3 linked regions of the Alligator mississippiensis genome follow. The protein of the gene in region 2 interacts with the protein of the main gene of each other region in a pairwise test. Links are inferred from orthologs where the notes say so. Each region holds a gene or a part of one and is shown on either strand. Other genes may lie near its edges.

Region 1 (7,633 bases), about 43 Mb from region 2:
TCCTCAGCCAAGCATAATGCTTCTGCCGACGACTTCAGTCAGTGACACTGCACCCAACGTTGAGTATTTTCATCCAAATCTATTAAAAATTTCCAACAGGATCTGGTCACATAACTCCACCTTGGATACCTCCTGTGGCTTCAACCACTCTTCTAAGAGATCGGCCAATTGCTGCAACAGAATCCGCAGGGATTTCTCTTCTTTTTTCTTTTGGGGCAGAATTTTCTCTTCAAACCCCATCATATGCTTTCTTTTTATATCTGTTACTATAAGTATGTACCTTTTATTTTGTGTGTGCCTGAATCCTTGTGGCCAACACTCAGATGCCCTCTCCAAGCTTCTGGGAGTGGGTCAATTCATTCTCTTCCTTTTTTTGTTTTGTTTTGTTTACTTTTTAGTGCAACTGCCAGCTGCATCTCATGGTATGCCTCTTTGGGGATCCACCCCTCCTCCTTCTCTGAGCTCCGCTCTCTCCGTCATCAAGAGAAATCCTGAGGTAAGCCTCTTATCTTCTATCTTCTGGGAAAACCCTTTTTCTCTTTTGGCCACTCTCTCTTTTTTTTTCTTCTGAGACTCCCATCTCTTCTTTCTTTTTTTTCTTCCGGAGCTTCTATCCTTCTATGGTAATAGCTCCAGAAGCGGCGTTCCCTGGCTTTTTTCGCTGCGTTGTTGTTTACTCTTTCATAGTCTGTCCAAGTGATGGAGGAAACATGCCACAATATGTGTGAATCCAAAGATCACCAGAAAGACATATGTCTTAATACATATGTCCTTCTTTGAATCATACAGTTAGGCCCCTTCTACATGTGCAGGTTAAGGTGAGATAGGATCTAATGTGTGATTCATGTAGTTGTGCCTCCTGCCGTGCCATATGTGCATGCCAAGAGGTGAGATTATGGGATTGCATATTGGATCCCGTTGCACCTTACAACCAGTGCAGGGGGAGCACACTGGCAAGAAGCAAGCTCCCATAGCTGGAAGCCCTGTGCATCCCAGCTGAGGGGTTCCCAGCTATGGGGGTGCCCCATGAACCCAGGGCAGGGGGATCATAATCTCTTCTCTGGGATTGCAGGAAACCCTAGGGATGGAGGGTTGCCACTGAGATGATCTCCCTGCTCTGGGGGTGTAGGAAACCCCCAGGGACAGAGGATCACCATAGGGGTGATTCCCTCATCCTGGGAATGTGGATCATCTGACCCTAGGGATTTCCCACATGCCCAAGCCATGATCCCCATGGACCAGAGGTTTTGCACTGGGCATGGTGCTCCCCTGAGGTTGGGAGCCCTGTCAGCTGATAGCATTCCTTTCTTGTGCCTGTCTCTTGGCTACTTTCCTATGATCAATGGATTACCATTTCAATCTACTTTCCAAATTCCTTAACTGTCTGTCAATCTCCAAGTCACTCAAGAAGTTATGCCTCAGTTAAGGAGAACTAATTAACACTTTAAAACTTCCTAGTACTTTCAAGATATTTACCACGTCCTTATTACATTCCCAAAATGGGTCTGATTATAGAACAATCTTGAGACAGCCATCAGTTCTAGAGAGCTGTACTGTGGTATGCTTTATATATTAAAGGCATATTAAAGTGATTCTGTAACTGTGATGGTCCAGAAATTATGCAAGAGGCAAGGATTTGTTAGGATGATTTATTTTATTGCACCAACTATATCGCTGGGATGAAGTTAGACATGCTTTCAATTGCAAGAATCAACAAAGAATGTCTTGTCTAACTTTAACCCAATACATAATTGGTTCAATAAAAGATATTTCCTTAACAAATCCTTGCCTTTTATGTATTAACCACCATTCCAGTACCACTGTACATCTACATGTGAAATTAATGTGAAGCTTATTGATCCAGAGTTTATTGCTCCTGGGCATGCCATTTGAACATATACCCAGGACCAGAGTAGGTTGGGCCAGGTCAAAGTAGCCCTGGATGACAGGGGGTCCTGGGGGTCAGCCTGCTAGCCTGGGGTTCTTCCAACCTGGCTCAACATGCTGTGGAGGTGCTGACTGGATCATCAGTGTACTTCATTGTTGGGCTACCCATGCAGTGCTGCAGAGTAAAAAAAACTCCACAGCAGGATAGTACTTGTACTTACCATGTACTACCTAGCAGTGGAGTTACTTACTTTACTTCAGCCTAATAAAAGCATATGTGTGTTGCCCTGTGGGGTCAGGCTAACTCTCAGGATCTCAATATTATGCTGTTAGACAGAAGGGTGTGGTATACAATTGCACATGGACACATTAAAAAATCAATTAGGTGCATACACACACTGTAGGTGCATGCACCCCCACTAGGCTTGCACACACACACTACCAATTCAGGCACATACACATCCAAAATTGCCAGCCAGGCAAATACACACCTATCACCAATTCAAGCACCTACACACACTATACACACCAAAAGAAATTAGACCAGAATCAATTACCAATACCTGCATACCCAATACACATACATGGATCACTAATTCATATAACATGCACACAATGACATACATGTATATCAGTTCGCATACATACCACTCACCTACACATACAGACAGGTGAGTTCCTAACTTGGGTGTTGTGGTGTGTATGCATGTGCTTGGGTTACCTGGGGGAAGGTTAAGGTAAGCGAGAGAGAGTGAAAGTGTAGAGGGTGTAAGTCGCCGGGATCGGGATGAGAACCAGTAGACTAGAAAGAGAGCTGAGCTGAGGCTTGGGCTTACTTTAGGTTACTGCTGGTGGAAACTGAGATGAAAGTTGCCAGTGCCAGGATTAGAACCGGCAGACTGGAGGGAAGTTGGGGTAACTTAAGGTTAATTGGTGTTAATTGAAAGCAGAAAGACAGCAGAGCAAAGGAGCAATGCCAGAGAGAAGGCTGGAGCTGGAGCAAGGAAGCTACAGGGGAGCCGAGAGGTACGTGGGGAGAGGAAAACTGGGATTGGGGCTGTGGGGGTGGGGGAAGGCTGGAGAACACATTGAGAGAGAGAGAGTGCAAGAGAAGGCAGAGAGAGATAGGGATTGGGGAGAGCTGGCAGGAGGCAAAAAGTGGCGGGAGCGGGGCTGAGAGCCTGAAGAAAAGGGACAGAGAGGAGGCAAAAGGTGGTGGGAGTGGCGGGGCTGAGAGCCTGCAGAAAAGGGACAGAGAGGAGGCAAAAAGTGGTGGGAGTGTGGTAAGAGCCTGCAGAAAGCAACAGGGCTGAGCACCTGCAGAAAAGGGACAGAGAGGAGGCAAAAGGTGGTGGGAGTGGGGCTGAGAGCCTACACAAAGCACCAGGGCTGAGAGGCTGCAGAAAGGTAACAGAGAGGAGGCAAACAGTGGTGGGAACAGGGCTGAGAGCCGGCAGAAAGCAACAGGGCTGAGAGTCTAGAGAGAGGGAGAGAGAAACTGGAATTTAAGATAGGGAAGGGACCAGGGCTCAGTAAAACCCAACCCAACTCAGGGTTACAAATGATAGTAGTTTTATTGAACAGGGGAGATGGTAACACTCTTTTTTATTGGTTCCTTTACACACACACACACACACACACACACACACACACACACTGGAAGCAGGGGTTAAAGAGGCAAGAGGAGGAAAGAGAGAGAGTCCAAATTGGAGGAAGAAATATGCAGGTGATATCTACCTGTCCAAGGCTGAAAGTGGGTCCTTGATGGCCAGTTGGGGTCTCCTTCAGCTCGGTGTTGTCCATAGGGGGTCGCCGGCAGTGCCTTAAGTGGATAGGCAGTGTGACATGGAGCTGGTCTGGTCCAGATGGAAATGGTGTTCCCAAGGAGTCAGTCTTCACTACCCCTTTTTATGGGGTAGACTACCTCTGATTTCATATGGGGAGGGCCTGTCCAGGCAATGTCAGTCCTGTTCCAGAGGGTTCCAGGTGTTCTTACTGAGCATGCGCAGCCTGGCACAATGGTGGGTTGCCTCATCTTTTGTTTCTTGAATGCTGAGGGTGGTTCCAAGGGCTGGGTCATTGGCCCAGGTATTGGTGTTGATGGTTTGGTCATTCAGAGCTATTTTTAGTTCCCCGCGTGGGGAACAGCTGATTAAACAGCTGGCGTAATGCTGGCTCACGTGGCTGCAATCCAGGCTCCTGCTCTTATGGCCGGCAGGAGGTAAGTTCACCCCGTGGGGGTCTGTTTCTGGGGTTTGGGGCCTGCGGAGATTGCCCTCTCCCCTTCGAAAGCCTGTGGGGGCATTACAGATAAGGTGCTGTTACAGATAAACAGCCTTGTCCTTATTGATTTCTCTGCAGTCAGTGACAAAAATCTGTTAATTTAGCTTTTGCCACTGATAGAAATGATTTGGGAACTTCATAGAACCCGTGCTATGTAAAAGAAATATCTGTAAAAGAGCAAATAAAAAAGAATCTGAAATAAATTGTGTGACTCTCAGTAATTCTTTGTTCTATGCAGTGCACTGCACATATGCTGTAGAAACAGGTTTTTTTATGAATGGTAAACTGGGAGGGGCATAATGTCATCAGATTCTGATGTCAGCAGAATGAATGAAATACTTGCTTATCATATTGCTCCAAGAACAAGAAAACAGACACACCACCCCAGTTTGACAGAAAAAATTCCTAGAACAAATTGTCTTTTGCTGACTAAATCATTGTTCCCTCGTGTCTGAAATGACTGGATGACATGAAGATACACATAGAATAATATATATTTAATCTCCTACACATCCCTTCAAGAACTGTTAGTGGAGCATCCCTCCTGTGACACTGCTAATGGGCTCAGTGAACTGAAGACCTGGCACTGTATTTTTGCTGTTGTCTATCCCAATGTTCTGCTTTTGTCTGCAGAATTCTTTGTTGAAGCTACAAACCCTAGAAACTGACTTGTGCTCTGCATTTTTGCCAGCCCAGGAAGAAATTCCTCAGCTACCGGCTTCCAAGGATCCAGTCCCTTCATCTGTTCAATCTAGTGTGCAAGATGATGGGGCCAGTTATGGAGGTAAGACACTAAATATCATGATGTGTTTTCATTTGCAATTATAAGATAGCCTGCTGTCTTGTAGTTTAATCTAATATTTGTCATCTTTTGAGAAGTGCAGATGAAATATGAAGGCTGAGGCACAATATGTTGCTGCCAGTGCTATGAAATATAACAAGTCATCCCTTTGTTTATAAATAGTGATAACCTATTTTTCATACCTATAAATCTTGCTTTTAAGACAAGCTTTAAGAATCCTGCATTTTCAGTTTTGATCTGCTTTTATCACAGTAGGGTTTTTGTATGTTCAGACAGTATGGTCTTTATTTACTGTGTTACAGCTGCATTCTGTGTGATGTTCTGCCATTTCGTGTAATTCTATTTTTGTAATGTTTTTTGTCAGAGCAATATCACTTCATTTCTCCTATTATTGATTCTAATTTAATGTATCAGCAGAGAGATAGTGCAGGTGAGTTTTTATAGCATGCTGATTGCAATCTCCCTTGTCCATCTTATATATTAAGATGTGTCCCATTTGTTTGTTTATTTATCCATCTGTCCATCCTCAACATGGAAACCAGTTCTTGCAAATAAACAACCGTAAGGTTTAGCATCATTTTCTGTCATTCTTGGCTTGTACTCACAGGACTGACAGAAGTAGGAGCCTAGACAGAAGAGGAACTAATGCTTAGGAAAAATAGTTCAAAGTAATCAAGAATATCACACTACATTTTAAATTTGTATGATATGCAAGTTTAAAATGTGCACTATGTAGGGGCCACATCAAGGTAAAGAGGTCAGTATTATAAGGCCTAATCCTTTTTTCTGCAAGGCATATTTTATGATAAAAAGCTCAGTTCAGGAAACCATATTTCAGAAGCTTCTTATTTATTTTGTACAAGGCAATTAATTTTATTTACAAATATTTTTATAAAATACACTTTTCTTCTTTAGACTCTTTCAAATGGATGTAATGAGCTGCAAAATTAAGGAATACACACTTATAACCCTAATTATTGTAAATCTAATCCATACCAAGAATATAGCCTGCAAAAAGAGTGACATATTTTGGCTTTTGAGTTGTTTAGGGGTTTTTTTCTTGTGTTTTGTTTTTTCTGAATGCTGAAACAGAAGTTGGAGAATATTTAATATAACAGCTATGGTATTTGCTAATGAACCTAGTTTCTGACGTGTACTTGAGGTAAAAAAAAATGGAGGCTACAGGGGCAAGATCTCAGAGCTTGTACAAAACCTGCATTCTATGTATTGGCAGGGTGTGCTTTCTGTCCTTTTCCTATTTTACATGATTTTTATACCCTGATGGTTTCATAACTCAGAATAATTTATACTCAGTTTAAGACCTTCTGTAACTTTTATCTTTGATGTGAATTGGACTTCCTTAAACTGTTAAAACCCTCCCAGTTCAGACAACACCTCTAACACTCATCTGCTCATTTACATTTATGCAAGAGTATCTTAGATGATGACACCCAGCTCAAATATATGTGATTTGCCACGCTGTTATTTCTAACCTGGGTTTTAGTGAAAGCTCAGCTCCTTATGGATTTTAATACACACCATGCTATGATAATTCTTGCTTTTTGGCTTTTCTAATTAGTAGCACTGGCTCCTATTCTGTCTTTGAAAAAAATGGTCTAATTTAGAATTACAGTTAGGTGAAACACAGTAGTCCCAGGTTCTGTTAGCAGTTATACTGATATAAATCTGGACATGGTCAAATTTACACCAGGGTAACTGAGATTGAAATCTGGCCCATAGAGTATATTCTGCCCTACTATGCCTGTATTATCCCATTGTAGCAAAACCCCCAGTTTTTCTTTTTTTAAATTTTGAAATACATTTCCTCAACTTACCGTAATGATTTCTGACTTTCTCTCTGCCCTCTCCATACCTTATAAGTGAATACAAGTAATACTAGGTAAGCTAAGTTCCTGTATGCTATTATTGTAATAAGCCGCTTTTTATATTGTAAATAGTGTTCTGTTCCTATCATTTTTGCATTGATTATTATTGTTTCGTATTAATATTGTATGGTTTAGGCCTGTATCTGTAAAGTAATGTCAAGTCTCCATCTTGTGTCCCCTGCCCAGGCATACCCTATTGTAACTCTGTTGTAACTGTATGACTCATACCTACCCCTCCTATGTAAATTGGTTCCTGAATGAATGGGGATGAATGAGGGTGCTTGAGAGACAATGGCAGTAAGACTAAAAATAGCTCCCCCGAATGACTGAGCCATCAACTTGATGACCCAACCATTACCCTGCATTGACTCTCCCTGGCTCAAGATTTGGAAGAGAGAGACTGCTGCAGAAATCAGCCAACCCACCACTATGCCAAGGCTGCACATGCTCAGTATGAGCATCTGGAACCCTCTGAAATAGGGCTGACTTTGCCTGGTGTCACAGGCCAGCTGGTCACTGTGAGTGTATCAATTTTATCACAGGCCAACTGGGCTGTTTGATTCAGTTTTGGATTGAGGAGGCAAAAGTTGGGTGTGGAATGAAGGCAAATTTTTTATAGCTTACACACACACAACAGTTAACAGAAAGATAAATGCAATAAGCAGATAAGGCAGTATAAAAGAGCTAATAGTAAATAATAACAACAGATAATAACAGATAAATAGATCAATCTGTCACAGGCCAACTGGGCACTGCGAGGGTATTAGCCACACTG
Region 2 (7,748 bases):
ATGTAGAGATGGACCAAAAAATAATTCACCAGAGGCAAAGGCAAGTGAAGAAAGGTACCTGTGGGGGAAGTGCTAGGGTAGCAAATGTCAGCTATAAGCTGCCCAGTCTCCATCTCCATAGCACTTTCTTGAACTCCAGCCACTTTAATACACTTTCTATGTTCAAAATGCAATTAAAAATGCTTTGCTTTTTCAGATGCGAGTTAGAAGTAGCTATTACGTGAAAAGATAACTGGACATTTTTGGTAATGATAAAATAGATACGAAGTTCAAATGGCACAGAAAATAAGAGAAAATGGCTTGGAAATAAAAAAAAAAAAAAAACTGATGTGTTCACAAGACCAGAAAAAAATCTTTATAAACTATAATTCTGTATCTTCTATATTTCTACTAAATGCTATTCTATAGTGGAAAGTCACCTTATATAACCTACTTCTAACACTGCCCTTTCTTTCTTTTAGTGCCAAGAAAACAAACTTATGTTTTTGGATGTCAAAAAAAAAAATTGCTTTCGAAATTATCTGAGTGGATGTCATTTGAAAATAAGTTACATTGACAGGTTTTTTATGCTTATTTGCAATTAGAAACAGAAACTTGTTTTCCCCTTCCTACACAACCTACAGTTTATAAAGAAAACTTTACTATTATCACAGTAGCTTGATTACAAATGGCAATTACCAATTTTGAAGTACACTAGAAAGACATGACCTGATTACGGGCATAGTGATTAAGATGTAGATATAGATTGAGATTAGAATGCACTGATATGACCGAAAATAAAATTAAAGTCACCTTTGGAAAAGCCAGAGACTTACAAAAGGTCTTATACTTTGCAAAGAGTTGAGTTTAATTTGAAAAGACTGTAGCCAAATGTTATTTGTATTGCAAAACATCTAGGCCTAGATCCTCAAAGGTATTTAGGTGCCTTATTCCCATCAGTTTTGATAGGAACTGAGTGCCTAAATTCCTTAAAGGATCCTAACCTTCTAGACTAATAATCCTGCCAAACTCACTAAATTTGAGACTATTTATGTGAAGCATTTACAGAAATTCAGTCTAGGTCACAACTAGCAAATGAGATTTTGAAGAGCATTCTGCTTCCTCCAGTCCAGATTTACAAAAATCTTGTATGTGATATCTTCCAGAGGTGTACAAGAAAGCTCAGCGGGCATTGAGAAATGAACTATAGTTGGAGCCTATCTCCCTTGTCTATGAAGAGCAGTCCTTTTTCCATAAAGTGAGACTACAAGCACCCTGCACAAAGAGCAGCTCTTTCTCTAATAAATGACACCGAACAGCATTCCCAGCCTTCTCCCACCCTTCAGAAACCTAAAGCAGCTTTCTCATAGTTCGAAATATGAAAGCCCTTTTTGCACCTTTACCAGTAAAGTCTTGACAACTTCAAAGACCAGTTTTTTGTTTTATTTTGCTCCTTGATTCAAGGATATGTAGTGCTTTTTTTCTTGCATTTTATAAAAATGGCTCTTTCACTCACCAGGCTTGGAGAAGAAATAACTATTTCAATTGCTATAAATTCTTCATTTGACTCGTAATCTGATTTTCCTTTGTCCTTCGGGTAGAAAGCTTCACCGCTCCAACACATTGCAGAGTTCACCACTGCGACCTCTTCCTTCAGCAGCACTTTGGAGAAAGAAAGACAGACAGACAGACAGACAGAAAGATTGACTGATTCATTTTTTTAAGATTCTTCAAAGCCATATTTTGTTTCTTAAACAGTCGCCCAACCACAGCATAACATTTTGCTTAAGTTTTCAGGTCCAGCCAGTAATTTTGAACACAACCACAACTTCATAGTAATGGTCTCTTTCTACCTCCAAATGCTCCACTTGGAGACAGGAATGGAAAATATTCCCTCAGGAAAATATTATGACAACACCTGACAGCACCACCCATAGCTCTGCTAACAGGACAGTAATGGGACTCAACACAGCTGCCAAGGACTCCAATTTTCTCCAACATTAACAGCGCTGGAGTGGGGTAAATGTACCTCCTCCTATATATTTGCTGTCTCAGGTGAACAAGAGCAGTCCCTCTTACCAGTCTGAGCTTTGAAGTGTATTTAGTAAGCCATTTTAGAAAGCTTTTGAGTCAAAGCCCTGTCATTTTTACTTTATGCAAGTGTTTGAATTGATATTAATACGACTATTATAATGAGTAAGGATGATAGAAAGAGACACATGTATAGTAAAACTCACTTATAAAAGCACACCAAGGCCCAGTTCTGAGTTCTCTTTTTTGAACAGATTAGACCTGGAACATGACCACTTGAACGGCGTCCAGATTGGGGGCTGATAATACATCGAACTTCCATTTAGGCAGACTCACTGACTTCACAGGGTTGTAAGGTTATAAATGAGATGAGACTTTTGTCTATTTAAACATTTTCCAACTTTCTGTACCCATCTGACATGAAGAGGGAAAAACTCCATGCTTGAACGTTTATGTGAATGTTGAATGCTGAATATCCAACACCCCCCCACACACCCAAGAAAGACAGACAGACAGAAAAACAGAAAGACAGAAAGAGAAAGAAAAAGGGAAAGACAGAAAGACAGACAGACAGACAGAAAGTTTTTTTTTGTTGTTGTTTTTTGTTTGTTTTTTTTACTTTTACTTTTAAGAGGCATTTATTCCAGGGAGGGTGACAAATTGGGGCCAGTAGAGAGTATGTACAGGTTGGCCCGAACACCTGGGCCTCACGGACAGACAGAAAGAAAGAAGGAAGGACAGAAAGAGACAGACAGGCAGACTTCAAATGACACAAAATGACGAAAAAGAATTCTGCTCTGGAGAAACACAGGCAGGAATAATGAATAAATCCCCCCCAAAAATCGCCGAAAAACCTTTGTAAAAATAAATGTTTAAAAATACATTCCAACTAAAGCTCAGCCGGTCTCTTCTTTCTTGTGCAAAATACCTGTTCCCTCCTGGCCCTTTATTTCTTTCTCCTGTTCTCGCCTGTGCTTGCTGTCTCTGCCTGCTAGCTTTTATTTCTTATATTTCTCATCTGTATTCCTGAACTACCTCAGCACTTCTTTACTTTTTACTAAGCTTTTTCTCCGGGTTTTTCCCCCCTCCATTATTAGTTTTTTCCTGTCCCCCCTCACCTCCACTTCTCCTGTCCATCCTTCTCCACCGCTGCACCTGGCCCTGCCTGCCCTCCCCCATCGCCTGCGTTCCCAGTGCCTCATCCCGTTAGTCTCCATCCCAGCTTTATTCTCCAGCTTTGAATCAGTCTCCCCTATCCCGGCAAGCGGTCTCTCCTCACGACACAAAACTTGCTGAAGCGGCCATTTCTGTGGCATTGAGGCGAGCCCCAGGGGCAGGGCCAAAGGCGGCCAGGCAGGGTGGGCGAGTCAGGCTCGGCAAAGGCGTCCTTCCTCATCCCCTGCAAGAGCCCTTCTGAAGCAGCGAACAAGCCCCCTCCCGGAAGCAGAGATTAAGAAAAACCCAATTAAATCCTGGTCCTGCCACTGAAGAGACAAAAATGAGCCTAGACGCCTTGTTTCAACAAATCCTCCTCACGGAGCAGCAGGCCGAGGAGAAGCGGCGCCTCACACACCGAGGTCGGTCAGCATGGCTACGGTCAGGATTGTCCCTTCGACTGCGTGGATCTCCGCTTCCTTAGGGACCCTTGAAGGCTTCCCTAGAGGCCTTTAAACCATATTGTGACAGGGGGGATGTTTTTGATGTTGCCATTTGCTGGCTGCCAAGTGTGCAACTCTACAAAATCCTTAGAAACGGCCCATTTGAAGGCCAGAAAAGACCACCTAAGCATGACCTCCTGTACAACACAGCCCCATAGCATTGTGCTGTCACAATACCTCATTTTTAATGGAGGCGGTGAGCCTCAACCAGGGTGCGGTGGCACCCTGGGGTGCCACGAGATCCATTCAAGGGTACAAACCCCTACACGCGACTCGCAAGATAAACGCTGAGATTTCCACCGGGAATCTCTAGTGTCAAAAACATCCTAACCTCTCTTGGGATTTCTCTGAACGCTTTGCAACAAAAGAATTGCTCAATTATTTTTCACAGTCAAAAAACAAGTGAAAGCTAAGAACTGACATTTTTTGAGGGGTGCCTTGAGTCTCACAAGGGATACTTTGAGTCTAAAAAAAGGTTGAGAACCACTGAATGAAGGCATGTATTCTAGAAAGGTGTCCAGGCTTGATTTTTACCTATGCAACTTTAAGGGTTTGGGGGGACCTCCCCAAGGACCGTGTCACTGGGCTGCCCTCAGTTTGCTTCCTGACTAGGCCTTAAGTTTTGGCTGTACCTTGCAGTAATAGCAATTAGCCTGCAAATAGTGGCCTAAAAACCCCAACTTCATCAGCAAGTAAGGAGAGGTAGGAGCGGGGGCAAGCAGTAGCAGAGCTACCACTGAACTGCATACCCAAATTCATTTTTGTTACGGTATAATAGGTATTGGGCACTCCTTGTTCACAAACTTAAGATTTATGTCCATGATTCTGAAAAACTTCTTCCCTACATCTCTTTGCCACACCAGAATATGTATTTCCACCTCTAGTAACTGAGGATAATAGTGGGACACCATCTTCCATAGGAAAAATTCTGTAGTTAGCAAGCTAGCATTTATAGAGCTGCACGGAAGTTGTTCTTTGACACCACTCCATTTTGCACGCCAGAATCCCTCTTATATTATTCTGTGTATTTCAAGGTTTATTTTGCATTGCAGTTAAACTGGAAATAAAAAGAAACCATGAACAAGTTATGGCAATTAAAGAAGAGTTGAGGGAAGCAAAAATACAATTAGAAACTAAGGTACAGTAATAATGTTCATTATATTTAGTATATTAATTGCTGCTTTTGGGATAGCATCTTAATGAAATGATTCATGAACATTTTGAAGCAGCGAACTTCATACTAGTTTACAGACTAATTACTGCAATATTTGTTTAACGAATGTCTTTGTATGCTTAGCATCATTTTACCTGAGCTCTTTACAAGATCAAAGATGCATCATTCAATTCCCAAACCAAGAAGGATCACGTCAGGCTGCTTCCTAAACTTGCTTCAGCAGCACTTGTCTTTGGGGACAGGGGTTGCATGAGGGATCTGCAATTTGGAACATGCCCATAGAGTTCAGCTGGAAGCATGAAATGTATACGCATGGGAACATCAGTGGCCACTTCTCAGTCGCATCTTATTTTTCCACTCACAAATACCTTTATCCTGTGCACACAGAAATACACCTAAAGACTCCTAGCACTAACTTGAGTGAGCCTTTGATCATACCATAAGCTTTCCCATCTCATCCCCGTGTCAACAGTTCTACTTGGCTGCATGTTATATAACATGTACTTGCACTCACCTTTCAGGCTTGCTCTGTAAAGAGCATTGCTTATCAGTACATTTCCTTATTCTCAGGTTTTATTAATTTTTTGTATAGCAACTGTGGAGCCTTATTTTGAGACAAATCCTTTAATTTTGTACTCTCAGCTTTCCTAGTACAAATAATTGCAAGTGTAAATGATTTAGACCCACTTATTTCTCCCTGCACATAATGTCTAAATGGCAATAAGTGTGCTCTGGAATATATTCAGTCACAAAATGTGGGTGAATAAAGGACTGACCAAGTCTCCTTTTAAAGTCAGATTTGTCAGATCCCTAGGGTATTCCGACATTACAGAAACGCTTTAAAGATAAATCTTGCAACCTTCTGGATTACATTTAGTCCTTTAATTTTTTACTACCAGACTCCTAATTTTATCAATAGTTACTATGTTATTTGTTTAGTTGATTAAAGCAATGAAACAGGTGTTCTAAGGGCTCTAGGGGTAATTTGCATCCCTCCAAGCAAACTGGGCTCCTATGTGATCTGTTAACAAATATACGCACTATATAAAAGCATTGAAACATCATTGTGATGAATAGATAGAAAGATGTGTTAGAGTAAAAGAGAATCTACAAAACTGTTTGGATGTATTAACAAAGCAGAACCCCAATGCTGCTAACCAGTATGGTTTCATGCAACTTCATGCACATCAAGAGTCCCACTGAAGTCAGCAAAAATACGCTATATGAAGAATCAGGGCCCAGGGTAGATCAACAACAGGAACCAGTCTGGAGTCAACTCAAAGAGGGAATGGGTGATATTTGTTAGGTAAATTCCTATATGGCCCTGCTCATAAAATTAATTTATGAAAACTACCATTTTATTTGTATACCACTGACTTAGTATTAACTCATTGTGATTTATAGCAGGTTTGTGTGGTAGGTATAGGAGGTCCCAAGAGGAGAATCATTATGGTACATGACTAATGGGAAAAGCTAGAGAAGCATTCTTAATCAAATCTTTTATCTTTTATCCACCAGAATTAATTATATTCTTACCAGTATCCACAAAAAAATATTACAATTCCAGTTTAGTTTGACATTGATTCATTTATCAAAAGGAAATGATACGAAGAATAAGGAAAATATGAAAATTCATTATTTCAATCAGATCACACTTAGATTTAAAGATTATATATTGACTACCAAGATTATTTATATTGTAATTTATTTTTCAAATATAAAATGAAATTTATTCTACAAAGCTCAAAATGTACTGACTGTAATGAATATAATCCAAGTACTACTACTTAATACTGTAAAAATAAATGACTCCTCCAAATTTCTGCATATCTCCTTTTTAATCTCACACACACTGGGTTAAAGCCTGAGTATATGAGCGTTAGAGTTCAAAAGTGTTTTGACATCTATTTCACAGAGACTGCTTGTGGTCAGTCGAACGCTCCCAGGAAATATTAATTTTTTTCTGTTGAGTAAAAAACCAACCAGCATGTAATTAGAACTTGAATTATAGCTTTTTCCCTTTCATGGCTCAATGTTTTTCTTTAAAAATTCTATTGCTAAGGCATAGATTACTTAGGTATTTTGGGGACAGGTGTACTATAGTTCAGCTGGTTATGCTCCATAGAATAAATGCAGAAGCACACGTTCACTAACTGCTTTAAATTATGTAACAAATACATGATCCTTGAGCAGTGAGCTACCTGGCTAATGCTCACCATGTCAAACGTACTTCCCAACCCCTCTCACTTTGCCCTAGCTTAATTTCTTTTGAATCTCCTCCCATCATGTCCCATTTGGCATGTCATCTTGCCTGTGCTCCTTTTCAACTTGCCTCTTTTGTTTCCACATCTTGTTAATTCTTCTTTTATAATATCACTAATTTCTAGCCTTGCCTTTCTCACCATACCACTTAAAATTCTCTCTGTTTCCCCCCTTGACTACTGCCATCCCATCTTCTCTTGAGTTTCCTAACACCTATTGTACTCCTTTCATGTTTGGTCAAAACACTGCTGCCAAGATCACTTTCCTTATTTATATATATTTTTTATCATTACACTCTCTCTTCCAATCCCTCCACTCCACTAGCTCCACTTCACCACCACCATATCAAACACAAGCTTATTGATGGCCCTTAAAAAATTCACCTGTACCTAACTTACATGCTGATGTTTATTATTACATCATCTATCCTAAACTAGCCTACCAATCTGGCTGTGCTGGATAGCCTGGAATAATTCTTCAAGTAGACATGGAAATGGGTTGAACAGCCTCCCTCCTTTGAGATCGACTATTGTTTACAAATTAAATCTATAAATAAAAATGTACGCAGAAGGAAGCTTTGGATGTGGTTTTATGGCAGACTGTCTTGTGCCCATACACTGATCCTCCATTCCTCTTCCCCAGCT
Region 3 (5,571 bases), on a different chromosome or scaffold from region 2:
CCGGGAGCCAGGCTGCGGGGAGGCGGGCGGGCGCTACCTTGAGCAGGGAGACGTTGGCGATGCGGTCCAGGGGGCTCATCAGGTCCGCGTCGATGAAGAGGTCCTTCCTGCCCGGCAGCTGCGGGGGGGGGAGGGGACGGGCACGGGGGTGCGGGTGACACCGGCTTTCCCAGACCGTCTTCTCGTGCCCGCGCAGCGAGGGGCCGCGCACCCGCATGTCACCGCCCCGCCACGTTTCTGGCCCTGGAAGTAGAGCCGCCCCCGCCCGGGCGCCCACCTGCTCCAGCAGGTAGACGAGCTGGTCCCGCGCCAGGCGCTTGAGCACGGCGAAGTCGGGCGGCTCGGGCGCGTCGCGGCGGCCGGGGGAGGCCATGGCGGCACCGGCGGAACCGACGCGCCGGGCCTAGGCTCCCGGCGGACCGGAAGTGCCCGCTGCCACGGCAACCGGCGGCGTGCGGAAGCGGCCGCGAGCGCTACTTCCTGTTCCGGCGCCAAGGAGGGCCCGGCGAGGCGCGTGCCCCCCGCTCGCGGCGTTCCGCCCGCAGCCCCACGCACACGCACACGCACGCGGCATTCACGGCCTTTATTGTCGCGGGCGGGCGGGCGGGCGGAGGGACCCCGCCGGCCTCACTCTTGCAGCCCGCGCGCCTCGAAGAGCCGCCGCAGCTCGTCCTCCAGCGCCGCGTGGGTGCCCCGCAGGCCGCGCACCACCTGCGCCGCCCACGCGAAGTACTCGTGCACGCGCTGCTCCGACCAGCCGGCCGGCGTGGCGCGCTGCAGGTCGCGCAGGTTGTACAGCTTGTCGGCCAGCTGCAGCAGCGCGGCGGGCGCGGAGCAGCGCGGGGCCCGCTCCACCTGCAGCCGCTTGCGCTCGGCCCGCGGCAGCGCCTTGTCGTCCGACACCTCCTGCACCAGGCGCCGCACCTCGGCCCCGAAGCGCCGCTCCAGCTCCGCCGCCGTCGTGTCCGTGTCCTCCAGCGTGTCGTGCAGCAGCGCCGCCTGCGCGGGGCGGGGGGGGGGGGATCAGCCCGCGGGCGGGGGCAGCCCACGCGGGGCGGGGGGGGTTACCTGCAGCAGCACGATGTCGGTGACGCCCGCCTCGTGGGACAGGATCCGCGCCACGCCTGGGACACGCGGGGACAAAGGGTCACGCGCCGCCCGGCCCCGCGTGGGGCGGGGAGGAGTGAGGGGGGGCGGGGGGGGGCGCACCGAGGGGGTGGTTGATGTAGGGGGTGCCCTCGGGGTCCTTGCGCCGCTGCCCCGCGTGTTTCCGCGCCGCGAAGTCCGCCGCCTCCAGCAGCCGCCCCGCGTCCGTGTCCATGGCGCCGCCGCGCCGCGCCCCGCCCCCCCCGCGCGGGGCACTGTGGGTAATGGCAGCGAGATGTGACAACCGGGCCCAGGCCCAGGCCCCGGCCCCGCGCGGCGCCACCCGCCCCTGCCCCGCGCCACCCCGCGCCGCGCCGGAGGGAGCGCACGGACCGCCGCTCTCGCTCTGCACACGCACACTTTAATCAACACGGACCGACCGCTTCTCCCCGCGACTCGGCCCTTATTTCCTGCAAGGGGAGCAGTCCGCGCCGCCCGGCCCCGGCTCCGGCTCCGGCTCGGGGGTGTCCGCGGGCCCGTCGCCCGGGATGCGGTAGAGGAAGGTCCCGCGGCTGTCGAAGAAGTCGCGGCCCCGCTGCACCACCTGGGCGCCGCGCTCCCGGCCCGCGCCCCACGCCTCCTCGGCGTCCCACGCCTCCGCGGCCGGCTCCGGCTCCGGCTCGGGCCGTGGGCAGCCGGCGGCGGGCGGCGTGGCAGGGCGGCCCCTTGGGGGGCGCGCGTGCGGCGGGCTGTGCCGCGGGGCGGGCGCGGCGGGGCCGAGGGGCGCGGGCAGGGCGGAGCGCGGGGCGGGCGGCGGCGGCAGGGCGCGGGCCGGGGCGGGGGCCCCGCGCTCCGGGCTGGCGGCGGGGCACAGGCGGCTCAGCGCCCGGGCGTCCTGCTTGTCCCGGCACCGCGGCGAGGGCGAGAACTTGCTGCGCAGCACGCGCCGCACCGCGTCCTCCGACACGCCGAAGCCCTCGGCCAGCCGCGACACCGGCCACTCGTCCCGCAGCTCCCGCCACAGGAACCTGCCGGGGGGGGACGGGGCGTAGCCCAGTCAGCGGCGGCCCGAGCCCCGCCCCGCCCCGCCCGGCCCGGCCCGGCCCGGCCCGCCGCGCTCACCGCATCTGCGTTATGGCCTGCCAGGTGAGCAGGCGCTCGGGGACCACCCTCGGCTCCATCTCCCGCCGCAGCCGCTGCATCCGGATGGCCACGCGCTGCCGCTGCAGCGCCCTGCGGGACACGGCGCCGTGAGCCGGGACCTCCGCCCCGCCCGGCCCCTCCCCGGCCCGGCCCGGCCCGGCACCTCTCCGCCTCCCGCAGCGACTCGAGCTCGTCCTCGTCCTCGTCCTCGCCCCCGCCGGGCCCCGCGGCCGCCCCCCGCCCCAGCAGGCGAGTCCCGGGGCCGGCAGCGCGGAGCGCTCGGCGGAGCAGCAGCACGGCCATGCCCGCCGCCCGCTCACGTGGGCTGAGCGGAGCCGGGGCGGGGCTACCGGCGGGGCCCGCACGTGCCGGTCGCCGCGGGGGCGGGGGGAGCGGAGCAGGCCCCGCCCAGCAGAGCCGGGAGGCGGGAAACGGTACAAAACTTTAATACAAAGCCGGGGGCGGAAGGAGCCGCCGCCGCCGCCCGAGACGGCCCTGCCGGGCCCAGCAAGGGCAGCCAGGGGACGAGGGCGGGGCCAGCCGCGGCGGGTGCCAGCCCCTCGTGCGGGCGATGGAGGCCGCTCCAGCTCCACGACAGCAGCCCTGGCCCCGCACAGGCGCTGCCCGGCGGCTGCGGCCCCAGGCCCGTCAGGCTGCAGGCTCAGGTCCACTTCCTGCGGAGGGAGGAGGGGCCCGGGTCAACAGGGCACAAGCAGGGGAGAGGACCCCCCCATCAGTGCCTGGGGAGACCGCGGCCCGTGGCTCCCGGCTGCCAGCGCAGGAGCAGGGTGTGCCAGTGACACGGACGAGGGGCACGCGCCAGCCACGGGCGGGCACCACCCCCAGGCAGAGTCAGGTGTGGGCAGCAGGCCTGGGTTTGAGGGTGGGTCTCCTTCCCCCTCGCCCATGTGGCCTCGGCCGGGCCAGCCCCAGTACGGTGGCCAAGCTGTCCCCTGGCTCGGGCAGACCTCTGCTCCGGGAGCCTGGCTCTGCGGGGCCCCAGCCCCGAGCTGCGTTACCGGCGGGGCAGGCTGAGGACGGCCGTGGCGTTGGAGCGGCGCGAGGCGTCTGTGCGCTGCACCAGGGGGGCAGAGGCAGAGGTGAGGGCGAGGTCCCGCGTGGCCTCGTGGTAGAGGGGCACTGTCACCGAGGGGAACGTGTAGTCGCTGCACGTCTGGCGCGGGGCTCGCCTGGCGTGAGGCAGGCAGCTCAGGGAGCCGGGATAGCCAGCACCAGCGAGCAGGGGCCGCCTGACCACGGGGCCCTCTGCAACGAGAGCATGGGGGTTAGGGCTGATGTGGCAGCCAGCAGGGCAGCGGGCAGTCCTCGCCCTCACACTGGTGCCTGCCCCGGCCCTGGGGGCAGCATCCCATCAGCTGCAAGGAAAACTACCCAGCCCCCAGCTCCCTTCTGCTGCCAGGCGCCCCTATGGCAGCGAGGCGGACGGCGGGAGGCAGGGCAGCAAGCCAGAGGGTCCTGCCAGCTGTGCGAGGGAGGGTGGTGCCCTGCAAACAGCGAGGCAGAAGACGGTCGCCTGCTACCCGGCTGGGGGAGAGACCTGCAGGGTCCTGTGCAATGACTGAGCCAGCAACGTCCCCCCAGGAGCTGGGGGAGCGCCCCGAGGGCGTCAGCGCAACCTCTGCCTCCAAGCTGTACTCACGGCCTCGTGCCCGGTCTCTGGCGCTGAAGAACCTCTGCCCGCCCGCCTTCGCCATGCTGGCGGGTGCGTGGGGCTCAGGCCCTGCTGCCGTCCTCGTCACGTGGCCCCCCAGCCAGCCCACACTCCTCTGTGGCGGGGGGTAGTGCTGCAGCCTGACCAGCGTGCGGTAGGGCAGGGCCTGGCCTGCGCCTGGCAGAGGGCCCGGGAGGCTGGGAGTGTAGCCTTGACTGGCCAGCAGCTGGACCCTGGCTGCAGGCAGCTGCCCCAGGTACCGGCCTGCCCTGCCCAGCAGCGAGAGGGGGATGAGGGTCATTAAGCTCTGGGGCTCGTGGTTCCGAAGTGTGTCTGAAAGGAAGGGCGGCTGCAAGAAAACAGACACGGCCGCTGACATCCCGGGCCTGTCGCAGGGCAGAGGCGCTCACTTGCTGACTGCCCCTGGCCCTGGCTTCTGATGGAGCAGGGGCAGAAGGGTCTGGATTGGCACTCCCACCCCCATGCCCAGGTCAGTGGTTCAGCAGCCAAGGGGCTCCCAGCTAGGTTTGCACCCTCTTTATTGCTGGCCTGGGTTTCTCCAGCTCCAGCCACTGAGCTGTCACCACCTAGGACCACGCATCCTGGTCCAGGGAGGTCGGTAAGGCTGCTCGAGTCGCATCTCAACCTTCTCCTTGTTAAAACAGCTGCCCTGATCTCTGCTCTCTCAGGGCAGGGCACGTATCCAGGACCCGCATCATTCCTGTGGCTCTTTTCTGAACCGTTTTAGCCTGAGCTGTGTCACCATCCCCCAGGTCTGGACAGATGCCCGCAGAGATGGAGTATACCCCAGAGACATTGTCTAGGGCGCCCTCATTCCCAGGGGCTGGGATACCCCTTGGGAACTCTGTAAAGAGGGAAAAGGGCTGTAAACATGGTAGAGCCCTTGGAAACTCACGCTACCAGGTCCACTGCCTCCAGCCTGGCTGTGTGGGGAAGTCAGGGCCTGGGGTGCCTGGCTGGTGTCTCTGCCTGCCCATCACCTCCTGTGCCAGCCCTAGAGGCCAGATCTGAGCAGCCCACCCCTACCTGGCTCTCAGCAACACCAACGTGGGGCCCGAGGATGTCCAGGGGCCCGGGCTCGCTGCTGAGGAGCAGCTGGGAGAGCTGGTCCACAATGCCCAGGCCCCGGATGAGGTGCTCACGGCGTAGAAGAGCCCTGACCCTCTCTGTCTCCTCGTGGGCTATGATGTCCTGGGGCTGCATGGAGTCAAGCTGCACCTGTGGAGCCTGGGACAGAAACATGCTGGGAGCTACCACGAGGGCTGGGTCACAGATGTCAGCAGGGAGCAAGGGGACCCCAGGAGTAGTCAGGCTCCCACAAGGTGTGGCCAGCACTGGCTGGAAGGACAGGCCGAGCCCCGTGGTTCTGTTCCCAGGAGGTAGGCATGCCCTGGATGCGTGCACTGGTATACAGGTGGCCAGCCTGTGGCACACATGCCACAAGCGGCCTAGGCAGCCTGTGTGTGTGATGCGTGGCAGACTGAGGAGGGGGCAGACAGCACAGTCACAGACAGGGCAGGGCGCAGAGGGCAGAGCAGCAGACCAGATGGAGCAGAAAGCAGAACATCAGATCAGGCAGTGCACGCAAGGCAGGGAGCAGGACGCAGAGCAGAGACTGGGCAGGATGCACAGGGCAGGGAGCAGAACAC

Evidence for each region.
Region 1: the proteins of CCDC172 (region 2) and FAM13C interact in binary tests that used the Homo sapiens proteins (3 or more experiments, as listed by UniProt). The two-hybrid records come from large-scale screens. The link is inferred for Alligator mississippiensis from reciprocal best matches to the Homo sapiens genes CCDC172 and FAM13C.
Region 3: the proteins of CCDC172 (region 2) and HDDC3 interact in binary tests that used the Homo sapiens proteins (3 or more experiments, as listed by UniProt). The two-hybrid records come from large-scale screens. The link is inferred for Alligator mississippiensis from reciprocal best matches to the Homo sapiens genes CCDC172 and HDDC3.

Annotation. Positions count from the first base shown.
Region 1 is NC_081829.1:46,977,616-46,985,248, reverse strand, and holds the start of FAM13C (protein FAM13C), read left to right. Parts: upstream 1-4,579; 5' UTR 4,580-4,782; coding exon 4,783-4,954; intron 4,955-7,633.
Region 2 is NC_081829.1:89,992,350-90,000,097, reverse strand, and holds the start of CCDC172 (coiled-coil domain-containing protein 172), read left to right. Parts: upstream 1-4,724; 5' UTR 4,725-4,755; coding exon 4,756-4,806; intron 4,807-7,748.
Region 3 is NC_081834.1:842,464-848,034, forward strand, and holds HDDC3 (guanosine-3',5'-bis(diphosphate) 3'-pyrophosphohydrolase MESH1), read right to left. Parts: upstream 1,550-5,571; 5' UTR 1,505-1,549; exon of another isoform or gene 1,488-1,504; intron 1,362-1,487; 5' UTR 1,322-1,361; coding exon 1,210-1,321; intron 1,125-1,209; coding exon 1,069-1,124; intron 1,000-1,068; coding exon 628-999; 3' UTR 569-627; downstream 1-568. Other genes in the region: VPS33B (vacuolar protein sorting-associated protein 33B), read right to left, coding at 38-118, 278-373; NGRN (neugrin), read right to left, coding at 1,550-2,114, 2,209-2,319, 2,393-2,532; tubulin polyglutamylase TTLL13, read right to left, coding at 3,618-4,250, 4,949-5,149. UniProt on the Homo sapiens protein: ppGpp hydrolyzing enzyme involved in starvation response.